Rhinolophus ferrumequinum: one gene and its partners. The protein of the gene in region 2 binds, or shares a complex with, the protein of the main gene of each other region. Links are inferred from orthologs where the notes say so. Each region holds a gene or a part of one and is shown on either strand. Other genes may lie near its edges.

Region 1 (7,827 bases), on a different chromosome or scaffold from region 2:
GCCAGTAGCACCCACCCCACACCCAGTCGTGACAACCAAAAATGTCTCCAGACATTGCTAATGTCCCTCCTGGAAAAAGGGACAAAATCACCCCAGATGAGACCCATTGGGTTAAATAGGCACGCACCTATTAATTAAGCAATCCTACGTATAGATCTGACAGTACATGAAATACTTTTTGCCCACAAAAAGATAACGAGCAATGAATATTCTTTATGCATAATAGCCCCAAACTGCAAACAACCCAAATGTCCATCAACAAGTGAATGGAGAAAGAAACTGTGGTGCATCCACACCCTGGGATACCACTAGAAATAAAAAGGAATAAGCTAATGATATACACGACATGATGGACAAATCTCAAAAACATCATGTTCATTGTGAATTACTAAAAATCACTAGATGGCACACTTAAGAAGAGTGATTTATATGGTATGTGAATTTTATTTCAATAGAAGACAAAACATGTTGAAAGAATCCAGACATGAAAAATCCAGACATAAAATCATAAAATGATTCCATGCAGTGTGAAATTCAAGAAGAGGCAAAATTAATCTATGGTGATATGGTAGAATCCAAAGGACAAGGTAGCCTGAGAAAGGACACAAGTAAAATTTACGTAGCTGGGGAGTAGACTAGGTCATGGCCACGGGTGTATTGCTCGTATATAAAAATTCACGGAGCCTCACACCAAAATATCTGTGTACTTTACCATAGGTAAACTGTACCTCAATCAAAATAATAATTAAAATAAAAGACATAACACATTATAGTTAAAGTGGAAATCACCTGTGTTCACCTCCCCAACTCCATTCCCCTCCCAAATCGCATAAACATCCTCAATAAAAATGAGATTGAACAATGACAGCACCCCAATTCTGTGATTTATAAGAATTCATTTAAGCTTCTCAGCAACCGTCTGAGGCATCGTGTTTCCCCGAAAATAAGACCTAGCCAGACCATCAGCTCTTCTGCGTCTTTTGGAGCAAAAATTAATATAAGACCCAGTCTTATTTTATAAAATAATTTTTGCTCCAAAAGACGCAGTAAAGCTGATGGTCCGGCTAGGTCTTATTTTCAGGGAAACACGGTAGGTGCTGCTATTATCATCCCCTTTTACAGATGAAGAAACTGAGGCACAGAGCAGTGAAGTAACTGGGTCTGGGTCTCACTGTTAGTGTGTGGTAGTGCCAGGATTTGAACCCAGGTAGCCTGACCCTCCTCAGCCGGGATGCCAGGCACACTACAATCACACTACTCCATACATTACCACAGACTTGATAGTTTCACATTCTGTGTTTTTTTTTTAGTAATTGATATCAACAGTTTCAAACTGTATCATTTTTTCTACTTGCTTTTTTATCCTACTCAAGGAGGTGTTTTTGACTCTGTTGACACATTTAGTTCTGGTGTCAGATAAATCTACTCCCATTTCTTTCTTTGGCCCCTACTGGTGGAGACTTGGTTTGCAAAGAGCTTTATGTTTGGAAAAACAATCCTCTTTCAGTTTCTCCCCTGCTAAGAATCTATCAGTGGCTCCCACAGTTCTCAGGGTCAAGTCTGAACTCCATATCCACCATCTGCAACATCTGGAGCCTGCCCTCCATTCCAGGTTCATCAGCACCAGAAACCCTAGCCATGCCCTATGATGCCAGGTTTATTCACCCATTTGTTCATCCAGCCGCTCTTTATTGAGCATCTTTTCTGTACTAGGAGCCAGAGACCCAGCAGTAAACAAGACAGATAATGATCCCTAGCCTCTGGGAGCTGACACCTTCCTGGTCAAGACAAATCAGAAAGAAAATACTAGAGTCAAATTTGCAACAAAAATCAAGTTATGCCAGGGGTAGCGTTTGGTAGGGAGGGTAGGGCTTGTTTTAGGTGGAGATGCAGTCAGGGAAGACATTTGAGTAAACATAGAAATGAACGGAGGAAGAGAATGCCAAGATGAGGAGAAGTATTGCAGAAATGGCCAGCATAAAGGCCTTGAGGCAGGAATAAGCATGTTTGAGGAGCAGTGAAGAGGCTGTGAGGCCAGAGAGGAGTGAGTGAGGGGTGATGAGGGCAGAGGAATCAGGACATGCCAGGTTCTCCCTCACCTCTAGGCCTTTGCTTCTGCTGTTCCTTCCACCAGACGCCCTTTTCCTCTTTACCCACTTTGAAAATTCCCAATTTGTCTTTCACAACTTAACTTCATTGCCATCCTTTCTGCCTCCTCCACAGTAGGGTGGCTGCCTCCTCAAAGCCACCACAGGCCTGGAATACCTTTCTCCTGACATCTTACACTGTGTCCACTCACTCATTCCACAAAGACTGAACGAGCATAGGCCAGACACTGGGCAATTTCAGAAAGTTACATTTAAAATAAATAAAACAGGGCCACGAGCCAGATATGACAGGGCATGGAGGTATTCTGGGAAGTTCTCAGAGGAGGGGACATTTAAACAGAAATCTAAATGATAAAGAAAGGCCAGCCTTGAGGATGTGATGGAAGGGCATTCCAAACCAGGGAACAGCCAGTGCAAAGGCCCTGAGTTTGGAAGGTAAGAATATTTGGGGAAGAGAGAGAAGGCCAGTGTTGCTGAATGGCGGTGTGTTGGTGAGGGGTGTGGTGGGGATGTGGCTGGACAGGTAGGCAGAGAGCTGACAGGACCACCTTGTAGCCCAGGTGAGGGTTCGGAAGTTTTTCCTAAGAGCTCCAGCCAGCTGGGAACAGGTTTTCCAGCAGGTAGAGGTAGGAGACGGGGTATGATTTAGGGTTTCCAAGGCCCCAGAGCAGATTGGAGAGGAGCCAGAGCAGCTGCAGTTATCATATCTGGTTGAAATTGTACAATTAGTCCTTCGTCTCCAAGTTTCAAGCCTGGAGGGTGACTCTGTTTCCAGTGCCACCAATGTCCCCAGCGGGCATTGATAAATAGTCGCTGAGTAAACGAATGCCGGAAGGTTGGAGTGAGAATTTGGCAGGTGTCCCCAGCTCCATCCGGGAAGGCAGCCTGGAACCTGGCAGGCAGCAGAGGGCCCATCCCTGGACTGGGTGGCCCAGTCTTGGGCTGGCTCAGATCCTTACTCTGCCACATCCTCCCATCTGTAAAATGGGTAAGGCTAGAATTAGAGGAAGACACCCTATTCCTCAGGGCAAGGGCCATAAACATCCTGGCTCCATAACTGGGATTAGGGTATTTTCTTTGAGCCTCAGTTTCCTCACCTGTAAATTTGGAGCAAAAGAACTCTGTCAAAAGGGTTATTTCATTGAATCTATAAATATTCAAGGAACAGCCAGGAGGCCAATGTGGCTGGAGGAAGTGAGCAAGTAAGTGGGAGGTGGGAGGAGAGGGGAAAGTTGAAGGGGGTCGTGCTTAGGACTTTGGCTTTTACTCTGAAGGTGTGAGCCATAGAGGATTCTAGGCAGAGGAGGGATGTGAGTTGACACAGGTGTTCACAGGGGCACTTGGCCTGTTGTGGGGGAAAACAGACTATGAGGCTGAAGGCAGAGCTGAAAGACTTGGGAGGAGGCGACTGCACTGGTCCAGGTGAAGGAAGACTGCAATTGGATCCCGTGGGGGCCTTGGGAGGGGAGAGAAATGGGCAGATTCTGGATTGGTATAATTTCTCCTTCTCCTTCTCTTTATTTCTCTGTTAACCCCCTCCACCAAGAGTCGCACAAAGGAAAAAGGGAAAGAGAAAACATCGTGCCCTGGTCTCTGGGACAACGCAAACCACGCACAGCCATGAGACACCAAGGAACCCGCAGCTCCCTGCACTTTGGTGGATCCCAGGAGGGCGCCAGAGTGCAGGCAACGCCGCAAGGGAGCGCTTCCCGCCCCGCGCCCCAGGGACTGCGGTTTGGTCCAGTCACCCGCTTGAAAGGGAGTCTTGAGGTGGGCCACGAGCCAAGCTGCACACTCCAGAGACTCTCGGAGACCCTTGAGAGGCCTCCACCCTCTGCCTCCGCATTTATGGAGCAGGAGTCTGCATTTATGGAGCACTATTTGCATACAGCAGCCCAAAGAAGAGGCTGATCCCCATTTTACAGCGAGGAAAACTGAGGCTCAGCAGCCACAGGATCCATGTGGCCCACAGCGAGTCAGTGATGGAGTTGCTATTCAACCTCCTTTTCATAACGGCAATAATAAAAATGACAGCTAACACTGATCGAGCGCTTACCGTATCGAGCACTAGGTCTGCAGTATCTTATTTTATCAACACTTGAGGGGTGAGCAGGTAAATTCTGTTTCATAGACGAGGCGCTCTTAGGGGTTTGGGGCTCCCCCCAAGGCATGAGGCGCTGGGATTTGAACCCAGATCTACCCAGAGCTTGTCTATAGGCAATGGGGAAGTTCCCGTGCCCTTTAACCCGGGTCCCGTAGGCCGAATGGGTCTAGAGGGCCTGAGTTTCCAAATACAGAGAGAGAAATTGGTTTTTGAGGGGTCCCAGGAGGCCCAAATGCCTCCGCTACTCCCTGCTTTAACCGGGCTCACTCTTTTCGGGTTCCCGCGCTCTCAATTGGGGTACCTCTGTACAGAGTGCGGATCCAGAAGGGCGCGGGGAGCAAACGAGGTACTGGTGGCTGCGGAGAGGGGCCGCCCGGCAGGCGGGACCCCGCAGCCCCGGGGGCCGCTGGGAGACCCGCCCCTTGGCCCCGCCCCCTCCCCGGGCGCCGACCTCGGCGGTCACGTGACGGGCCCGGCGGCCGCTGGGGCCGGAGGGCGAGGCGCGCGGGCGCGGCGGCCAGGCCAGGCAGGGTCGGAGCCTAGCAGGCCGGAGCGGCCCGCACGCCGGGCCTGGGTCTCGCCGTGCCCGCCCCCTTCCCTCCCTCCACGCCCCACACGGGGCGCACGCGCGCTCCTCCAGCCGCCCCTCCCTCCGCGCGGGGACCCCTGGCGGGTGGCGAGAGGACATGGCCAGCGACGCTGTGCAGGTAGGTGCACCTGCGTCCGCAAAGCTCCATGGCCGCCCGTCACCGGGGAACCCCGCCCGCGCGCTTCTGGGGTCCCCAGACGCCAGGGCGGGGGGGGGGCCTCCGGAGCGCCCTGTACTCCTTCCCGGGGCCGGCACCGTGGAGCCCCAGCACGGCCCACTTCTCGGCAGGTGGAGGTACTCACGGTGGGGAGCGGGGAGGTCCCGGAATCCCCCGAGCACCATGAAGCTCCGCCCCTCCCCGACAATTCGGGGGGACGCAGCGGAGGCGCGACTTCGGGTCTCTGAGGCTGGTTGTGCGTCCCGGTGCCTGTTGCCCCCGACACTCGCCCCCCCCTCAGCGTTCGGTTCCCGGCAGGTGCCGTTCCACCTGGTGCAGGTGCCTGGCACGGTGCCTCAGGAGGCGAGGAGGCCGCCCGGCCCGTGCCCTTCCCCCGCACAACAAAGCTCCAGCGGTCCCCGCCTCCAGACTGAGCTTTATGAGGGTCGACGCCACCCAGATTGGCACCTGTTGGCGGAAATGCCCGAGTCACCTCATTAGGTCTGGGGACGGGGGATCCACACGGCCACCCTCCGGGCTGTCAGGTGGAACCCGATCCCAGTTGGGGAGTGTCTGGGTCAATAGGCTGGGGATTCTCTCGGCCCTGGAATCCTACCTGGGCATGGGTGGCACGCGGGGTCAGCCCCTTCTCCCCCATACACATACACATACACAGGTACAGGTGACTGGTGCAAACCTGCCGCCCAGCCAGATTCTCCCTGTGCCACCTTGTGGACATTACAGTCCTAAACTCATCTCCCCTGGCTATGACAAGCAGGGCTAGGGTGACTTCTGACCTTTGGTTCAGTGACCCAAATCTGATACCTGTCCTGTGCCCACTTAGTACCTCACTATCCCTCCATTGTCCTGTGGTGCTGTGTAACCGGGATCTCATCTCCTTCTGCACCTGCTCTCCATCCCCTCTGTCTCCCCCATGTCCCCCTGTACCCCACCCCAGTCCTGCTGATGGCCTGCCAGCCTTGCCGAGGAGCTGGGCGTATCTGGTGTTGCAGATCACACAAGGTCAGACCTTGGGGCTGGGGAGGGCCAGGGTTCCTTTCTCTCCCCCCAGTCATGGGAGGGCTTTGTAGGAATCCCCCAGTGCATGCATGTGCTTGGTATGTACCAGACCTGACCCTGATGGAGGCTGTGATTCCTGGAACGAGGCTGGACCTGTGCCCTGGTTTTCCTTCCTATCTCTTACCCTCTTCCCTCCCTTCTCCCGTCCTGGTTATTCCTTTCTTGTGGCTGCTTGGGCTTGCCACTCTGTCCCTCTGTCCCAACGTGTGCCTGTCTGTTCTGTGTCCGGCAAGCGGATGTCCTGTCCAGATTCCGGAAACGCCCAAAGCATTGAAATCTCCGGACATGGGGGTCTAGATCCCTGGCTGCACTTGGAAACGGGGGTTTCTGGGAGGTGGGCCCTCTGAACCTGGGTCTCCTGCTCCACAGTGAGAGGTGGCGGGGAGCAGGGATTCTCCAAGGCTGGACCAGGCCTCTGATTCATAGGTTCATCCTGCTGGCCCACTGGTGACCTCTGCCCCCTGGGTAGGAGTGAGTCACTCCAGGGAGGAAAACCCAGGAGGCCAGGCTTCCCTCCATCCTGTGTTCGGCATATTCTCAGGCCTCAGCTGCTAGAGATGCAGCCGAAGGCGCCTGCTCCTCCTCTCTGCCTGGACCCCCATTTGAGCTGGCCCTGCTCCTGGCTGTACACCCCTGCTCTGCCTGCTGGGGACGGGGTGGGCCTGGGCAGTGGGCAGGGCCTGGTTGGGAGCGAGTAGTATTAGAAGACCCTGGGTTTAAATTCTAGCGCTGTCACTTCCTCACTGTGTGTCCTGGGCCCGGTGCCTTTGCCTCTCTGAGCCTCAGTTCTGACAGCAAAAAAATGGGACTAAGAGGGTGTTCATGGTCGTGAGGATGTAGACCCGGCAAGTGCTCTGCAGGCAGGACTGCCATGAAATCTTTACTGGTGGTCATGGTCAGCAGCCTAGGGTGTGAGTTTGTGTCCTTCAACCCAGGGTTTCTCCACACTATTGACATTCAGGGCTGAATCATTCTTTGAGGTGGGGACTGTCCTGTGCACTGTAGATTTTTGAGCAGCATCCCTGGTCTCAACCCACTAGATGCCAATAGCACCCCCTCCCCACCCCCAGTTGTGACAACAAAAAATATTTCTTTATCTTGCCAAATGTCCCCAGAGGTGAGCAGGTGTTGAAAATTGCTTATTTTTCCTCTCTGAGTCTCAGTTTCCTCACCTGTAAAGTAGGGGAGAATAATGGCAACTGCTCAACATTAAAGTAAGGGGTTGGTAGGATTGGGGGAGGTGAGGCCCTTGGCCTGCAGTAAACCCTCCCTGGGGGCAGCTGCCCTCAAGGTTGGTCAGGAGCAAGGAAGACTTACTTCATCTGTGAAATGGGTTCTTGCAATTTGAGGAGAGGGCCTGACAACCTAGCCTGCACTTGGATTCTGGGCACTCCTGTTTAAATCCTGGTTCTGCTTCTTGCTGGCTGTAGGACCTTGGGGCAAGTTATGACACTGTTCTGGGCCTCAGTTTCCTCATCTTGAAAATGGGGTGATAATAGCACTCGCCTCGTGGACTTAATTAGTTGACCTGGATGCAGTTTGGAGTAACTGCTGTTATTACTAGTCATACTTGAGCTTTAGAGGGCTGCTAGTTTGCTGGTCTCCAGTGCTGTGGGTCATGGTGTGGGTCTCAGGGAGGTCCCTAACCCAGCCTGGCACCCTAGGTCCCCAAGCTGTGGTCAGAAGCAGTGGCACCCAGAGAAGAAGCCGGAAGTTGGGACGGCCTGTATCTGCAGGCAGGGGGCTGGCCCATGTAAACACTCCTGGGCATTTGCATATTCATGTACAC
Region 2 (8,215 bases):
GGTCACAGCTGGAACTCTGCTTATTTGTGTGTAGCGGGCCAAGGTTAATAGCCACAAAAGAAGTAACCTAAATCTTCCCTGCAGTAAGACCAAAAGGTGCCTAAGCTGTTCCTATTATTTAGATAGAAAAGACACCCTCCCTATCAATCTGTCCTGGGTAAAATAAAATGGAAAACAAATGATCCAAATTGATTTCTATTTCCAACATCTCTGGATACAGATACAAGGCTATCTTATTCCAAGAAGTATTATATCGCCAAAAACACCTTTTCCTGGTGTTTTTTTTTAAACTCATTGATTCTCTCCTCTTTTCTCTGAATCTATTAATTTTTTAAAAATCAACTGTCCATTTTTCTCTTTCAATCCACACTAATAACTTCATTCTGCATCTGACCTCTTTTCATGAAACATCATTGTAATTTCTCCAGTGTTTTCTCTGATGACTAGGTTATTCACTCCACGCCCCTCATAACTCTGTTTATAATTTTGTAGCCCTATCAGTCAGTTTCACTGCTCATTCCAGATAGGCACTCAGCCAATATATTGCCAATAACACTCACTCTTGTGCTAATTTAAAATACACAGCGCAGCTTGCCAAGTTTCCTTATTTGGCAAGAAGGTCCCTTGGTTCCCAAGATCTTTAACCATCCATTTTTAGATCCAAATCCTTGTGCTTAATATTTGGTTATTTTTCTCTCTCTCTCTTCCTCCTCCCTCCCTCCCTCCCTATCTCTCTCTCTCTCTCTCTCTCTCTCTCTCTCTCTCTCTCTCTCTCTCTGTCTCCCCCTGCCTCCCTCTCTTTAATATGTCCTTACGTGTTCCCTAACAGATTAAAAAAAAGGAGATCAACCACCTATTTGCTTTCTTGTACAAGAAAAAAATATGCTTGCCATTACATTATGGTCATTTACTCTAGAATTATTAGCACTAAAACTTTGATTTAAACAGTATTTTCCAATTAAAAAAAAACTCCCAAAAAGTTACAGTAGTAATTAAGTTGTTTAAGAGTAAAATAAACAGTATGCATTGCTCTAAAAGACCACTTTTCTTTATCTTAATTCCCTCTTTCCAAACAAACTGAATTCATATGCATTTACAATCTCCCAAATCCCTCACTATTGTAGCAGGGCTTTAAAACAAAGGCTCTACAAATGACCAAAATCATAATTAAAATGCGCCATCACATTATTTTTTTGAAAATCAAAAACCATGAAATGTCGCTGTGGAGATGGGCCTATTACAAAGAAGACGTTAATTGTCTTGAATCACCTGTTTATTTTTGTCTTTAAATGTGTTGTAGATTTGGATCCATGAATCCTGGCTGTTCAATTCAACCGAGTTCAGGAAAGCAAGAAGGCTCTCCTAGAACAGCTTTAAGTTTAAAATATGAATATACTTTAACAATCAGCTCAAATATCCTCGAATTAATTGTAAGTCGATTCTAATACAACATTATTGCTGAGAGAGCTGCTTATTGCAGTATCACTTGGAATGAGCCACTAAATGGTGTTGCTTTCATTATTAAAGAAACTAACAAAAATAGTAATTAAGTTCTCCATAAACAGTGCTTTTGAAGACGGTCTCAAGGCGCATCAGCCGCATCAGAAACATACATTTTCAGCACTCTAACAATGATTGCCCCCTCCTTTTCTTTTCTTTTTTTTGGCAATTCGATATCATCTCGCCAGTTTTGCATTAAAGTTTTTCTGCAAGCTGTCAGGAGCAAGCGAGGTGAGGCGGCGGCCTTGGCATTTCCGTCCGGGCCTGTTGCTGGTCTCAGAGCCCACGAGCCCGTGGACGCCACAGGGTCGGCAAAGGGGAGACCCTCGGCTCCCGTGGCAGGTAAAAGGGGATGCTGGGGGTGCGGGTGGGCGCGAGCTCCCCGATGACGAGGGCAGGGTGGGAGCCCTCGCGCCCGGCCCTGCAGAAAAGCAGAAGTTCACGGTCCCCCTCGCACGCTGGGAAGTACCCTGCACCCTGCCCTGATTTGGGAGACTCGCGTTTGCCTCCCGAGAGGTGGCCCGGTCACCCATTGCGAGGCCGGCGCTCCGGAGCTGCTCTCCTGGGGTCGTGGGCTCGGTGGGCGGGGGCTCCGCGTTCGGGGGGGAAGCGGCGGTCCCGGAGGCGCCCCGAGCCTGCGCCGCGCTCCCAGGGCTGAGAAAGCCGGGGACGCTCCGGGCTGCGCCCCGCTCTTTCTGGTGCCAACTTCTGCGTGGGACCGGCCCGAACTTCCCGAGCCGCTCGTGGCCGAGCCACGGCTGAGATCAGGCGCCAACCCCGTGGGAGCCCGGGACGCTCGCTCCGGCCGCCGCCGCCCGGGCGGGCCCCAGTTCGGGAAGGGGAACCCAATGTGGCTCTGGACGGCCGGCTGGGCTCCCGGGCCCCGACCCCAGCTGGGCCTCGGCCCCGAGACGCCCGGACGGCTCGCAAGCGCGGCGGGCCTCCCTCGCAGCCTCTCCCTCCGCGGCCTCTGGCCGGCCCTTACCTGGCTCCCGGGCCGGGCGCGAGAAGCAGCCGGGGGCGCACAGGCCCCGCGCGCGGCGAGGGCAGGAGCGGCGGCGGGGGGTCGAGAGGACAGCGGCTCGCGCGGCTTCCACGCTTCCGCCAGAGTCAGGAGTTGAACATTCCGCCTCTGCGTCCCGCGCCAATGAGGAAGACAGTCACGGCAACAGCACCACCTACCTCCGAGCGCGGAACGACCGGGCCTGCCCGTACGCCCGGGGCCCGGCCGCAGCGCAGACGCGGGGGCCAGCCGGCGTGGGGCGGCGCCTGGGACTCCCGGACCTGCACCCTGAGGGGCACCATTGCTCCCGACGCCCTGGAACCCGTCAGGCCGCCGGCCGCCGCCGGTGGTCGCTCAGCGGGGGCCACCTGCCCTATTGTGTGGGCACGCGGAGGGGGACCTGTGCCTCTGCAACCCTTTGTACCTTCACATCTTTTTAGCAAGTTACCACCACCTATCCCGTCAACTCAGTCCTTATCAAGAAACATTTCCTGTGAAATAGGCGCAGGAAATACAAGGGATAGGAGGCTGCTTTGTGGCCTTGCGGGACTTAATTATCTAGTTAGGAAGGGGACAGACCTGGAAAGATATTTCTGAGGATATAGGGCTGAAGGCTGCCTCAGGGGAACCATCGGTAGATACCTACGGAATTTGAGGAGGGTCTGCTGCCCTGGTTGGTGATTTTAACAAAGCTGAATTCAGATGAGGACGCTAGAATTCGTTCCACGTGTGAGCAAAAGGTGGAACTAGGTATCGAGAAGAAAAGTAATTGTTGATTGGAAGGGATGGTTCTGTGGAGGAAAAGTGAGACGAGGTTGCAAAGGTATGGGCAACATTATTCAGGGGGTTGAGTTTGGATGTTGTCATCTATGGACGCTGGGGAGACGTGGAAAGCTAGAACCAAAAGGATCAAATAGGTCTTTGCGTTTTTATTTTAATGGTTATTGAGAGAGAGAGAGCACGCGCGCAGTCCACACGGTTGTAGGATGGTTGCCAGGGCCAAACTGGGAAGCAGCATGAGTTGGACATATTGTCACTACCTAGAAATGAGATCGTGAGGCCTTGAACGAGAGTGTACAAAATAGAATTAGAAAAGAAGGAATTGAATTGAGAGACATGTTTCAGGAAGCCAAGAAATTGGTAACCTATTAGATGTGGAAGACAAGAAGGAAAGAGTCCCAGATGCTGCCACGATTTCACACCGGGATGACTGAAAGAACGATGCTGTCATTGACAGAAATAGGGACATGTGGAGTGGAAGTTGGCTTCCTGCTGACGTGAGGTCATGGGAGGAAAAACAGGTAGAGATGCAGCAGTTGAAATATGAAACTGAGGTTCAGAAAAGAGGTCGGGAGGGAGAGATGAATTGTAAATCATTCACATATTTAAAGATATGAGAGTGGAGGGATGGGTGAATACAGGTAAAAAAAAAAAACACCAGCTTTCTAGTTTGTTATTCAGATTAATTATTGAATTTTCCCTTTGATACGGACTAGAAATTTTAGCATTGATAGATTCTATTTTGGTAACAGAGAAATTAGGATAAATGAAAACTGTCATGCTAAAAAATTTCCTGATGTGGGTAACCAATTATTCTAAAAACCATTTAAACATTAAAGGGAAAACTAAGGTTCTTTAACACAGACTTAGGCATAAGGTGACTCAGGTCGTTTTACCTCACCTTCAAAGACACTACATTGTAATAGAAAGGACACTAGACTGGTGGTCAGAGGACCTGGCTTGTGGCCCTAATCCTGCTGCTCATGAGCTGGGTACTTTGCTAAACAGGCCTCAGTTTTCTCCTCTGCAAAATAAGAGGCCCCAATTAGATGTTACCTACAGTTCCAGCTTTAAAACTATGCATGTATTGCTTTAAATTTGGAGCACATCTCTTAAGAGTCAATATTTTTAGCCACATGCCCCTTCCTTCCCATGCATTTTTTTCTTCATTCTATTTTCCCCTCATAATTAGGCTAAGAGAATAACCATCAGGAACAATGAACACCAAAGAGGAGTCTCACAAATATGCTTAAATAGGCTGGTAGGCATTTTCTTGCCTTCCCAATTATGCTGCATGCTCCTTGAGGTTATCTTATATTCCACTGTATCTGTCCACAGCTGAAATAAATAATTGTGTGATAAATTGATTACCTCAAGTAAGACTCTTCCTTGGTCAAGCTGCCTGTTTCCTTATGACTACACTGACCTCCAGGCCCCAGACCTAATGCTATAGCCTGGTGCTTATTCCCATGGCTGACTCGGCTTTTTCAAACTCAAATCTTTTTGAAAGCATATCGATTAATTCTCACCTGTATAGTTTACAAATGTAAATAGCAATAGCAAAAGAGACCTAGTCAAACTTTTCTTATCAAGCCTTTCTATTCCTTTATTTCAAATGTCTCTACACTAAAGATAGATACACTCTCAGGAGCGGGGTGGCTGGGGAGTCCTTCGCATCCACTTATATCCAAGAGCACCCTCCGAAATGAACATGCAATGAGGGTAAAAATAGTGAATTTTCTGTACAAATTTAACTTAAAGAAAAAGTCTCCTAGTCTCCCATTCAATTAGATTGTTGTCCTTAAGCTCCTCTTAAATAGAAATTCTGGAACTGCCACCAGCTATCAGTGGATCAGAGAAGTGCAGACATAAATTCTATTAAGGATAGAAGGAAAGGCAACTTAAAAGGAAGCAAGCATTCTGAATATCCTTCCCCCACCTTATAGTGATAAGAACTATGGTGAGAGCTGGTATCCAGGAGCATTTTGTCTAGCCATCTCATTCCTCAATCTTAGATTGTGAGTAGTCTGTGTCTGGATCATATCTAAGAATTCACCACCTTTTATACAAAGGTTGGTGCTTTACCTCCTGCACAACTCTGAATCCCTGGGAAATTAAAGCACACAATCAAACATCAGTTGAGATATGTAGCCGTTACCTTAAAATCACAAATGAAGCCCATACCATTGTTTGAGCTTAGTTTTCACATCTAACTTGGGGACCGAAGAATTCACAACATTTTGGGTACCAAATTTGCTTAGGTGTTGTAGGGCACGAAAGGAGCAGTGGGGCAAGAAGAGAAATTGGGGACTTTTGCAAACTTTATTCAACAAACATTTTCTGAATGGCAGGCATGGTGCTAAGCTTTGTGATTGTAACAGTGACCCAGATGGGTCCTTACTGTCACAGAGTTTTCAGAGTGTAATGGGAAAGCCAGAAAAGACACACACAATTATACTCCAATGTACTCTGAAAGCGGCAAAATGGGGGCTTACACCAGGGCAACTAAAAGTTTTGGGAGGTCAATGAATGTTTCCAAGACAAAGAACTTCCAAGTCCCTGGGAGAAGAATGAAGAGAATTTGGCTAGACAAAAAGGAGGGAAAGGTATTGCTGCAAGAACAAGAAGTACAAAGGCCCAAGAGCATTTAACAGGTTCAAGGAATAAATCCCTTCAACATCTGAGTAAAGACGTTGCCAGGAGGGAGTAATAATTCTCAGGGTGGTAGTAACAGCAGCAGTAACAATAATAATAATATTACTACTAATAATAATGATTGTTAATGTTTACTGAGTGCTCAGGTGCCATGCACTGAGCTAAGAATTTTACACTCATGGTCCCTCTTCATTATGAACACTCCATTAGATTATACCAATACATAATCGTGTGTCTTTATTAGTCATTCCTTTCTCTTCAGTATGTTGTTTTTGTTTGTTTGTTTGTTTGTTTTGTTAACTGATATGCCTCATCTCTATGTTTTCTTCATTCTGCTTGTCTCCAAAATGTCTACAACTAAGCAATATAGTTCTTCTGGTCCATCTAGAGAGGGGATAGCGGAGTAAAGGAGTGACTACTTCCCAGTAGCTGGCCAAGGCCCTCTTAAGAATGGATTAACCAGTCCATAATAGTTAGAAAATCCTGATCAAATTTCAAAGTCACTTTTCTATCCGTACTTCTTTTGTATTATTCTTACTCAAGTTGAAATTTTTCCAATGAATACTTGTATAAGTTCTATTTGCTTTTTTATATTTTGCTACCATTGGCTTTTCCCTAACTTTTTAAGGTTCGTTTGTATTAAGCTGCTGTCTGCATTGTTGTTTGTAACACCTTCCAATTTAGTATCATCTGCAAATTTCATTAACATGCTATTTACTCCCTCTTCCAGATCATTAATAAATGCTATTTCTTATGTATTAAATTTTGCGGTCGAATAGATTTAATTTATTGTTGTAATTTCAATGCATGTTTTTTAAAAGATACAATGCAGTTAAGAATGGTCTTAACATAGGCTTAAATCCATACCCAGTTTATAGTTATTTTACTATTATGCAATCCATTTGTGTTCTCTAATCAGCACTGTTGTGAGCTTCATTGAAGCAATAATCTATTGATTTTCTCTTCCCTCTTTTTCAATACAGTCATCATCTTGGCTTTAAATGCACAGCAATAGCAGAGTTAGAACTATTGTTGTACTCTAATCCATAGTTATTTATAAAAGGAAATCAAGTCTTTTTTCTCAGTGGCTATTCTTCCACTGATATAAGAAATATTTTACATTAAAATTATTTTATAATGAGAATATTTGATTTGCCTATGCACGGTCTCAATGTTCTAAACAGAAATAGATTTTAGATTTTTTTTCCCCTTCTTCCACCTCCCCCTCCCCCCACTCCTGTTCAAGCCGTTGTTTCTCAGTCTAGTTGTGTAGGACACAGCTCCCTGGCCCGTGCTGTTATGAGCCTTGCACTCCCCCTCTCCCCCAGGCAGTCGGTTGCCAGTGATCGGTGGGCTGCTCACAGCAGCTCATGCCGGCTGCCGGCCAGCTCATGGCAGCACAGGGTAGCCCACAGCAGCCCACAGCAGCCCAGCTCCAGGGAGAGCCGTTGTTCACAATCTTAGCTGTAGAGGGTGCAGCTCACAGACCCATGTGGGAATCGAACCAGTGAACTCAGTGTTAGGAGCACGGCACTCCAACCACCTGAGTCATCCGGCCGGCCCTAGATCTTTTTTAAAGCAAGTAAATGTAATATGTATATTACATTCATATATTATATATATATATATATATATATATTTTATTGTGTATTTTGTTTTCTAATAAATCTGCTCACTGACTCCCTGACTCCTAGAGAATCTGGGGTGACTTTGTTTTTTTTATACTAGACTTAGACATGCTACCTTCAAAGCAGAGAATGAGATTCATTAAGCCATTGCTTCACTTTATGTCACATATCATCCTACTTACCAGGCCTCTATAGTGCCAGTTTTCATTTTCAATGAGATGAGCTTTCTTACATGCCACTTATTTCTGTACTTATGTTCATAGATTGCATTTTTAAATCATTTTGCATGAGATTAGTCTTCATGTTTCTACATAATATTTCCAGGAGCTGTATTTTCTTTCCCCTCATTATTAATACCTCTATCTCTTTCCCCCCTATAATGTTAACTGAGTATATGCCCTTGGTAAGCTTTCTTTTCCACATTGAGAAATTTATTTAACCTCTAAATCTCAGTTTTCCCATCTGTGCATTGTCCCCTCATAACTTACCTACCCATCTCAGAGGATTGTTGTCAAGTTCAAATGAGATCATTTATGCCAAAGTGTTTTATAAGTGATATAAAAGCAAATAAAAATTATTTTTTTCTTGAAACATAGTAAATGCAAATACAGGATATTGTTTTCACTGAGAAATAAAACCTGTATTTCCA
Region 3 (7,187 bases), on a different chromosome or scaffold from region 2:
CTGTTTTTACATGCCAGGCAGTTACTGTTTGTCTAGCCTTCTTTACTCCTATTCTAGTCACTGCACATAATAACTGGCATTTGAACGCTTACTGTATACCAGGCATTATGCTTGATGGCTTTACACTATTAGTGTAATATTCATAATAATACCTATGTGAGTGGGACTATTGTTACCATATCTTGCCTATGAGAAAAGGGAGCTTTTGAGGGTGTAAATACTTGCCTTAGGTCATAGAGCTAACAAATTAAACGGCCCATATACAAATCCACATCCGCCTTCACCACCTTTACTTGAACTGCATCTGGACTAGGCCAGATACTCACCATCAGTTTTCTCTTCCTTCTCATATTGGTAAACACCTGTACTTCTTCAAATGGGTTCTCCCGGTGACACTGACAGGTAAAGGTCATAGTCAGTGACGACTTAGCGTTTTTTATAATCACTGGGGGCTGTGATTCCGGGCATTGGAATAACCCTGAACGTGTTACTTCCCAGCCGTTCATACTGATGGTGAAGGGACTCATGCTCAGCCTAGCACAGTAACATTGTTCAGAAGTGTGTTTGTTATCAATTCAGGAACCAGGAGTATCTGGAAAATCTAAAATACCTCTGGTTATGCCAGTACAGTGAAGAAGAGCTTACTTAGGCTGCGAGCTGGACCCTTCACACTCATACCTTAGCTCTGTCAGCTCTGTGACCCCAGCAAATCACCTTCCCACCGTTTCCTCACCTGTAAAACACAGGCAGTACTAGCACCTTCCTCAAAAGAGAACGTGAGGACGAAGTAAGACAATGTTAAGTTCCTCGCAGGGTATCTTGCACATGGTCAGCTTCAAGTGTTGCCTTCCTATTGTGAGCCAACAGGAAGATCACAGTCGTATTAAGTTTAGAGCTTCGATAATTAGAGCAGAGCTCCGAGGTGCAGATGGTCCCGTGACGAGGTGCTGGTCAGTTTGTCCTTCAGTGTTAACGCAGACTTGCGTTGGTATTCCTAAGGTCTGCTACGTCCAGCCTGTAAGTAACATAAATATACTTTGGGGATATAAACAGTCTTAAGTTCTGCAATGTTTCTGTAAACATCTTAAAGTAGTTTATGATTCAAAATATTCTTGCTTGTAGGTGATACGAAAGTGAGGTAGGTAGTAAGAAATTGATTACCCCATTCTCTTGCCAGACTCACCTTAGGATAGATGTAACTTGAAAAATATGAGATGGAGTTGTGCATGCGCTTGTGTGTTTGTGTTGGTTGGAGGGATGCAGGTGAAAGAGCTGTCAAGTCTCAGTTATTGATCAGAAGGGAGGATTGGTGTAATTGTACAGATCTGGGGTTTGGTGTACGAAATAGATGCTTTAAAAATTACTCTAAGAAATTACATTTATTTAACCAAACTCTGTTTTGTTTAGTCTTCTCTGTAATGTTTAAACACATCCTAAGTTTTCGAACAAAACCCATCAAGGAAACCTATCTTGCTGTGTAAGGTCGGGGTGGGAAACCATCTACTTTTTTACTAAGGTCCTCTGAACTGTGCAAAATTTCCTTGTAGGATATCCTGGATAAATGATTTAGTTAGTGATTATCTGTTTCAATTTCCATTTTTAAAATTATGAACATAGACTATTTAAAACTGCTTAAGGAGTAGCATACTTTTATATATTGTGATCAGGTCAGAGAGAGGGAAAAGGAGTGAAGTAGAAAGGCAGATGATTGGCAACTTTTGGGTGGGTGACTTTTCTGTAGAGTGTCATGTATATTCATAACCTTTCCCCAACCGAAAAGTGACACAGCACGATGTCACCCGCATCTTCAGTTCTTTTGTACTAAATTTGTGTTGCATTTTTACAGTACAGCAAGAATGACATTCTTGGGTTGTATCTGATTCAGCGTATGAACTGGAGCAGACGATTTAAGAGTTTTTCCAGATAGAAGATTCCATGATCCTTTGTCATCATCTGATCATAACAGTGACTGAAATAATAGCTGAGCACTTGAAAAAAATCCAAAAGTTCTTCAATCGAAAGAAATACTTTTTTGCTAATGACTTCTGAATGTCATTGGGGGACAGTTTAGATGAGGGGCTCTTTCCGATTCTATTTCTGGGATTCTGTGTTTTTGACTGTTGAATGTTACATACCAGATTAGTTCTTTCTTCTTCCTTTTCATTAAAATATGTACTTTAGTCTAAGAACAATAGAAAACAGCTTTCTCTTTTAGCTGTCTCAACTCATTCTAACCTCATTCCTAGCTTAGCCTAACTTTATAGTTTATTTTGGCTGCAAAATATTACCCACTTTTTATCTGCTATGAAAATACATTTTTCCTTTAGTGAGGGGGGAAAATGCAAGCTAACACATATTTATTTTGGATTATCTTTCCCCCTGCCATTATTTTTCTAACTCCTTGCGCTCTGTTCATGCCTCTGCCAGTCTTAAAAAAATTTTTGGTTGAGTTTGACGATTGCGGGAATATTTTTGATGTAGAAGTGGTTTGTAAAATGTGAGAGATTTCTGTTGAATTCCTTCTCATGGCATCATTCAGTAGCAGTTTGCTTGATACAGAGATTACGGTTGATGTCTTTGCTATTCTGGAAAAGTTCTAGGTTTAGAAGGATCCTGTTAAGAGTTCACTTCAATATAGAAACCAGGAAAAACTTCGTTATCTAAAAAAGACCTAGGTGAATATAAGCCTCATTATACAACTACATTTTCACTCACTTTCCTTTGCAAAAGTGGACTTGATTACGCTATTAGAAAGTAATAAAAATGATCTGTGATCCTGCCAATGTTGCCACAGTCTGATCTCTGTTATTTAGAATCATGTTACTCTAAAAGAGCAGAAATCTATCGAGAGAGTCTCTGGGCAGATTTTGGACAGTTTTGTTTCTTACGGTTGAAAGCATTTGCTATCATATTTCCATAAGGTGGTGGGGGTGGAATTAATCTCCTCCCCTTGCTACCGTCCAATTATATGTGGTAAATAAAATTTGGCAAATACATGAGAGCAAGTAATCCCATTACCTAGAGATAGTAGACATTTTGGTTTAAGAAATACATAGTTAAGATCAGATTTATGGTATATACTATTTTCTGAGATTTTTTTCCATTTAATAATGTGTTCTCATGTTGTATAGTTTCTGAATGTTATTTTAAGGGATAGCATAATTCTGTTGTTGGGAGCTATCAAATTTAATTCTCTATTAGTAGACATTTAATTTTTTGGTCAAAACAAATTTTCCCCTCATTATTTCCTTACGATAAAGTAAAATTATTTTTTTTAAAGTTTGAACATTTTCAAGTTTCTTTAATGCATATTGTTAAATTTGTTTAATTTTATCGAAAATACTTATCACCACTTTATGTTTTATGCTTATGATCTGAATATGTGAGTATTCCATGTGTATTTGTTTTGTCACGTCTTGGTCAGCAGTGGGCACTTTTGTTTTCCTACCCTTTTCTGATTTATAGTGGAAAATGCAGTGAGATTGTACCTCTCTTAGAAATGCCTACTAGGTGGTCAGCTCTTAAGCTCCTTGGCCTTTGTTTTGGTCTGAACCTGATTCTGGGACTTCTCGATCAACCCTTTGTATTATTAACTAAACTTCCTAACCACCTGAATGTTTGTGTTAGACCAGGTCTGGGTGGTTTCGTTAAAACCAGGTTGTCACTGGTTGGTTGAGCAAGCATTTGGAAATTCCCTGTGAAAGGAAAAGAACACCCAGCAAAGCTGCCCATGTGTACAGTGTTCTCTGCCCATCCTTTATGTATTTAGCAATGACTTCGGCTGAACCAGTTTGTGCTTCCAGAAGAACCAGTCCTGAGGTCTCTCTCTGCCCTTCTCATCAAAGCAAACACCTCGGTCATCTCCTCCCTGTGGCCTTTTGTTTGGACCACGACTAGCTGGTTCTCAGCGTATAGGTTACCTGCCACCTTGTTTATACAGCTTTAGCGCCGTAGGTATTGTTGGGCTTACTTGTGTTTTGTAGGTGAAACTTGCTCAAATACAATTTCTGTTTTTCTGGAATTTATTCGTGTTCTCTGAAATGCTGCTGCTATTGTTGCTGGCGCTGGTATAAACTCATGGATCCTACTACCCAGGAGGGACCCGGCTTTGACCCTGAAGAGAGTGCTGACATACAGTCTTCAACAGGCAGTTGTCGTACAGGTAAAAGAGCTTTGTACTCAGAGGGAGAAATTGTTCTGTTTAGTATTTCACAGGTAAACCTTTTCTTTAATTAACCAACTTTCACTTACCTTGAGGTCAGTCAGGTACCAAAGGGAGGGGAGATTCTGAGCAGTCGGTCAGCTGGGTGGTGGTGCACGCATGCGCTCACACGCTTTTCTCTTCCTAGGGAAACTCCTTTCTCAGAGCCACCTAATTACTCTCTTCGTGTAGACAATTTAAAGAAGCTTAGTTATCTCTTTTCCTAGCCTCTAGCAAAGCAATGATGGCCATTCAAAAACCAGGAACAAGTCTGGGGAGGACTTACTGTGGTGGAAAATTGAAAAAAAAAAAGTAATGTAAACAACGCAGCTGGCTGTCACAGAGGGAGCTGCTATAGCAGTTATAAGAGCCATATATTCTCTATGTATTCTGGATACAAATCTTTTATCAAATACTTGATTTGCACACATTTTCTCCTCATCTCTGGCTTGTCTTTTCATTGCCTTCATGGTGTCTTTGGAAGAGGAAGAGTTTTTAATTTCGATGAAGTCTAGTTTATCATATTTTCTTTTGTGGATCATACTTTTGATGTCACATCGAACAGATCTTTAGCCAAGATCGCAAAGATTTTCTCCTGAAAGTTTTAGCTCTTATATTTACGTCTTGAATCCATTTTGGGGTGAATTTTTGGGAGCGGTGTGAGCTAAGCATTTATTTATTTTTGCATGTGGGTATCCCACTTGTTCCACTGCCCTTTGTTGAAAAGACTCTTAAAGGTGCTTTTCCTTGAAGATCTTACTGCTCGGTCTTGGATGTACTAATGAGCAGAAGGCTTTATTTTCTGATTGAGTTGGAGGAGGAGAGAAGGAGGGGGTTTCTCTTGGGTCGTGGCCTTATTGTAAGTAAGTCTTGTTACCAGAGTTTGTGTTGCTTGATTCCGATTCTGTTAAAATGGTGTCCACAGAGTCTTAGTAAACAATGAGTAGAGTTTTAAGCAGCTTGGTTTTAGTTAAGAAGTTGCTGTGTTATCTTCTCCCTCTGACGGTGATTATGAAATTTTATTTTAACACACAGTTCGGGTCAGATAAGTCTAGGATAGTGTAAGCTAACTTGAACATTTGGTAAAAATAGTTCCTACATGAGAATGATGAAACCCTTCTTAAAACATTTTCTTTTTCCAAACAGTTACTTCTAACCATAAAAGCAAAACATGTTTATTATAGAAACTTTTGGAAATTAACGAAGTATGAAGGAAAACCTTTGTTCCCTCATCACTGCCATCCCGACTTTGACACAGCAATACCTTTTAAATTTTGTGTATGGACTCTGGACAGCGTAGTTCCTTGGAACAATATTTGGATCTAGTGATGGATTCACGCCTGTTTTCTTGCATTTCTCATAGGAAGGGAAAAAGTTAGGTGCTAATATTTGATGAGCATTTATTATAAGCCAGCCTTGTACTTCACAAAGCTTTATGAAGTATTAAAATGATACTTAAATAGTATTAAAAATGTATCCCCTCTCTCTGTCTTCCCCAAATAATTTGTCCAGTGTCACTCAGCGAGTGTGTGATAGATCTGAAAATCGGGGGGGAAATTTAAGCATCTTTCAGTTAAAATCCTTAACCTGTGTTTACTTTCATGATTTGAAAGGCTTTAAAAAGAAGAAAGGATCAAGTTCTCCTTTTCTTTCTTTTCTGGCTCATGTGGCCTCCCTTTTATTCTCTCTCAAAATTGGAAGTTCCAAGATCCCCTTATGTCTTGCTCAAATTAAGGTTTGTTTCTCTTCTCCTTTCTGTGCTGTGCTTTCAACTTTGAGAGCCTTAGTTTTAACTTTGGTATTTGTTAGCGGAATAGAAAGATAAGAAGAGAGCTGGGATTTTTGACAATGAAAATTCCTTCAATTGGATTTTAATTTTTTAAGCATTTAATAATTAGCTGTGGATAACCAGGCAGGCCATTTAGGTTCTTCCTCCATAAAATGGACTAGCACTCAGCAAAGATCCTTTCACGGTGTGTCAATATTCCTAATTTTTTGTGTTAGTGGAGCCATAAAATAAGGTTCTGGTGATACGGGCAGAGGTATCTGCCATTGGGACCAGTATTTAGAAACCTCTGTCTTCTTATAAGGAACCTTAAATCTCAAATCATCAAACTGTTTGCATTGAGTTAATAGGTAAGAAGCATCAATTGTACTCTCCTTTTTATGTAAACAAAATGTGTGTGTGTGTGTGTGTGTAGGATATTTGTGATTCTGGTGCTTAGTTCTTCCTCCTTCCTTTAGGAGATGGTTTTGACAGTGGGGGGTGGGGGCCTCTTGACAGCCCGAACCTCCCACTGACACCCTCACTTTATCAAGTAGCATAACTTATTCTAATCTGTTGCTTATGTAGTTGCCATAGTATTCTGCCTGGGAACAGAAAGGTGGATGAAACGTTTGTCCAGTAATCCCGATTTTTTTCCCACCCTCATTGACATTTCCCAGCAGAAATTTGTTTCTTAGTGATTCAGGCTAAGGCTTGGGAGTGTAATGAATGCAAAGGGAGGTGGGTGTTTGGACTCTGGACAGTTAAGAAAAAAAAAGAGTTCTTTATATTAACCTAACCCACTCTGTTAATCACTAAACTACTTTGTGCAGTGATTTAAGCTAGCTACTCGTTATATCAATTGTATTTATTTCTGGCAATTGTTTTGTTGGGGCTGACGATTAGAACTCAGGCTAGAATGGAGCTTTTCCCTGCTAACCAGGCGCATTAAAACAAACAAACAAACGAAACAGAAAACAACCAAAGGTCACAGGTTCCAATGATCAGCTTAACATATTTGGATCGGTGAATCAGGATGAAGAATCCTAAACGTTAGGAAGTGTGGAAAAGAAATCCTAAAGGAAATAAGAGAGGAATTATTTTCCTCTCTCTTATTCTAGTGAACTTTTGACTTGGTTGCAGAAGAAATCCACATGGGAGTAAGAATTGTTTATAGAGTAAAATGTTTACTTTGCATTGATTGTTATTTTTGCTTTTCAC

Evidence for each region. The genes of interacting proteins can lie anywhere in the genome.
Region 1: MAP3K20 (region 2) and PKN1 share a complex: the UniProt entries of both Homo sapiens proteins name them as parts of the signaling complex. The link is inferred for Rhinolophus ferrumequinum from reciprocal best matches to the Homo sapiens genes MAP3K20 and PKN1.
Region 3: MAP3K20 (region 2) and AKAP13 share a complex: the UniProt entries of both Homo sapiens proteins name them as parts of the signaling complex. The link is inferred for Rhinolophus ferrumequinum from reciprocal best matches to the Homo sapiens genes MAP3K20 and AKAP13.

The regions. Positions count from the first base shown.
Region 1 is NC_046301.1:47,690,697-47,698,523, reverse strand, and holds the start of PKN1 (serine/threonine-protein kinase N1), read left to right. Parts: upstream 1-4,690; 5' UTR 4,691-4,898; coding exon of another isoform or gene 4,899-4,919; intron 4,920-5,916; 5' UTR 5,917-5,924; coding exon 5,925-5,981; intron 5,982-7,827. UniProt on the Homo sapiens protein: PKC-related serine/threonine-protein kinase involved in various processes such as regulation of the intermediate filaments of the actin cytoskeleton, cell migration, tumor cell invasion and transcription regulation.
Region 2 is NC_046291.1:51,787,417-51,795,631, forward strand, and holds the start of MAP3K20 (mitogen-activated protein kinase kinase kinase 20), read right to left. Parts: upstream 3,096-8,215; 5' UTR 2,486-3,095; intron 1,843-2,485; exon of another isoform or gene 1,716-1,842; intron 1-1,715. UniProt on the Homo sapiens protein: Stress-activated component of a protein kinase signal transduction cascade that promotes programmed cell death in response to various stress, such as ribosomal stress, osmotic shock and ionizing radiation.
Region 3 is NC_046311.1:6,944,053-6,951,239, reverse strand, and holds the start of AKAP13 (A-kinase anchor protein 13), read left to right. Parts: upstream 1-4,050; 5' UTR 4,051-4,077; coding exon 4,078-4,162; intron 4,163-7,187. UniProt on the Homo sapiens protein: Scaffold protein that plays an important role in assembling signaling complexes downstream of several types of G protein-coupled receptors.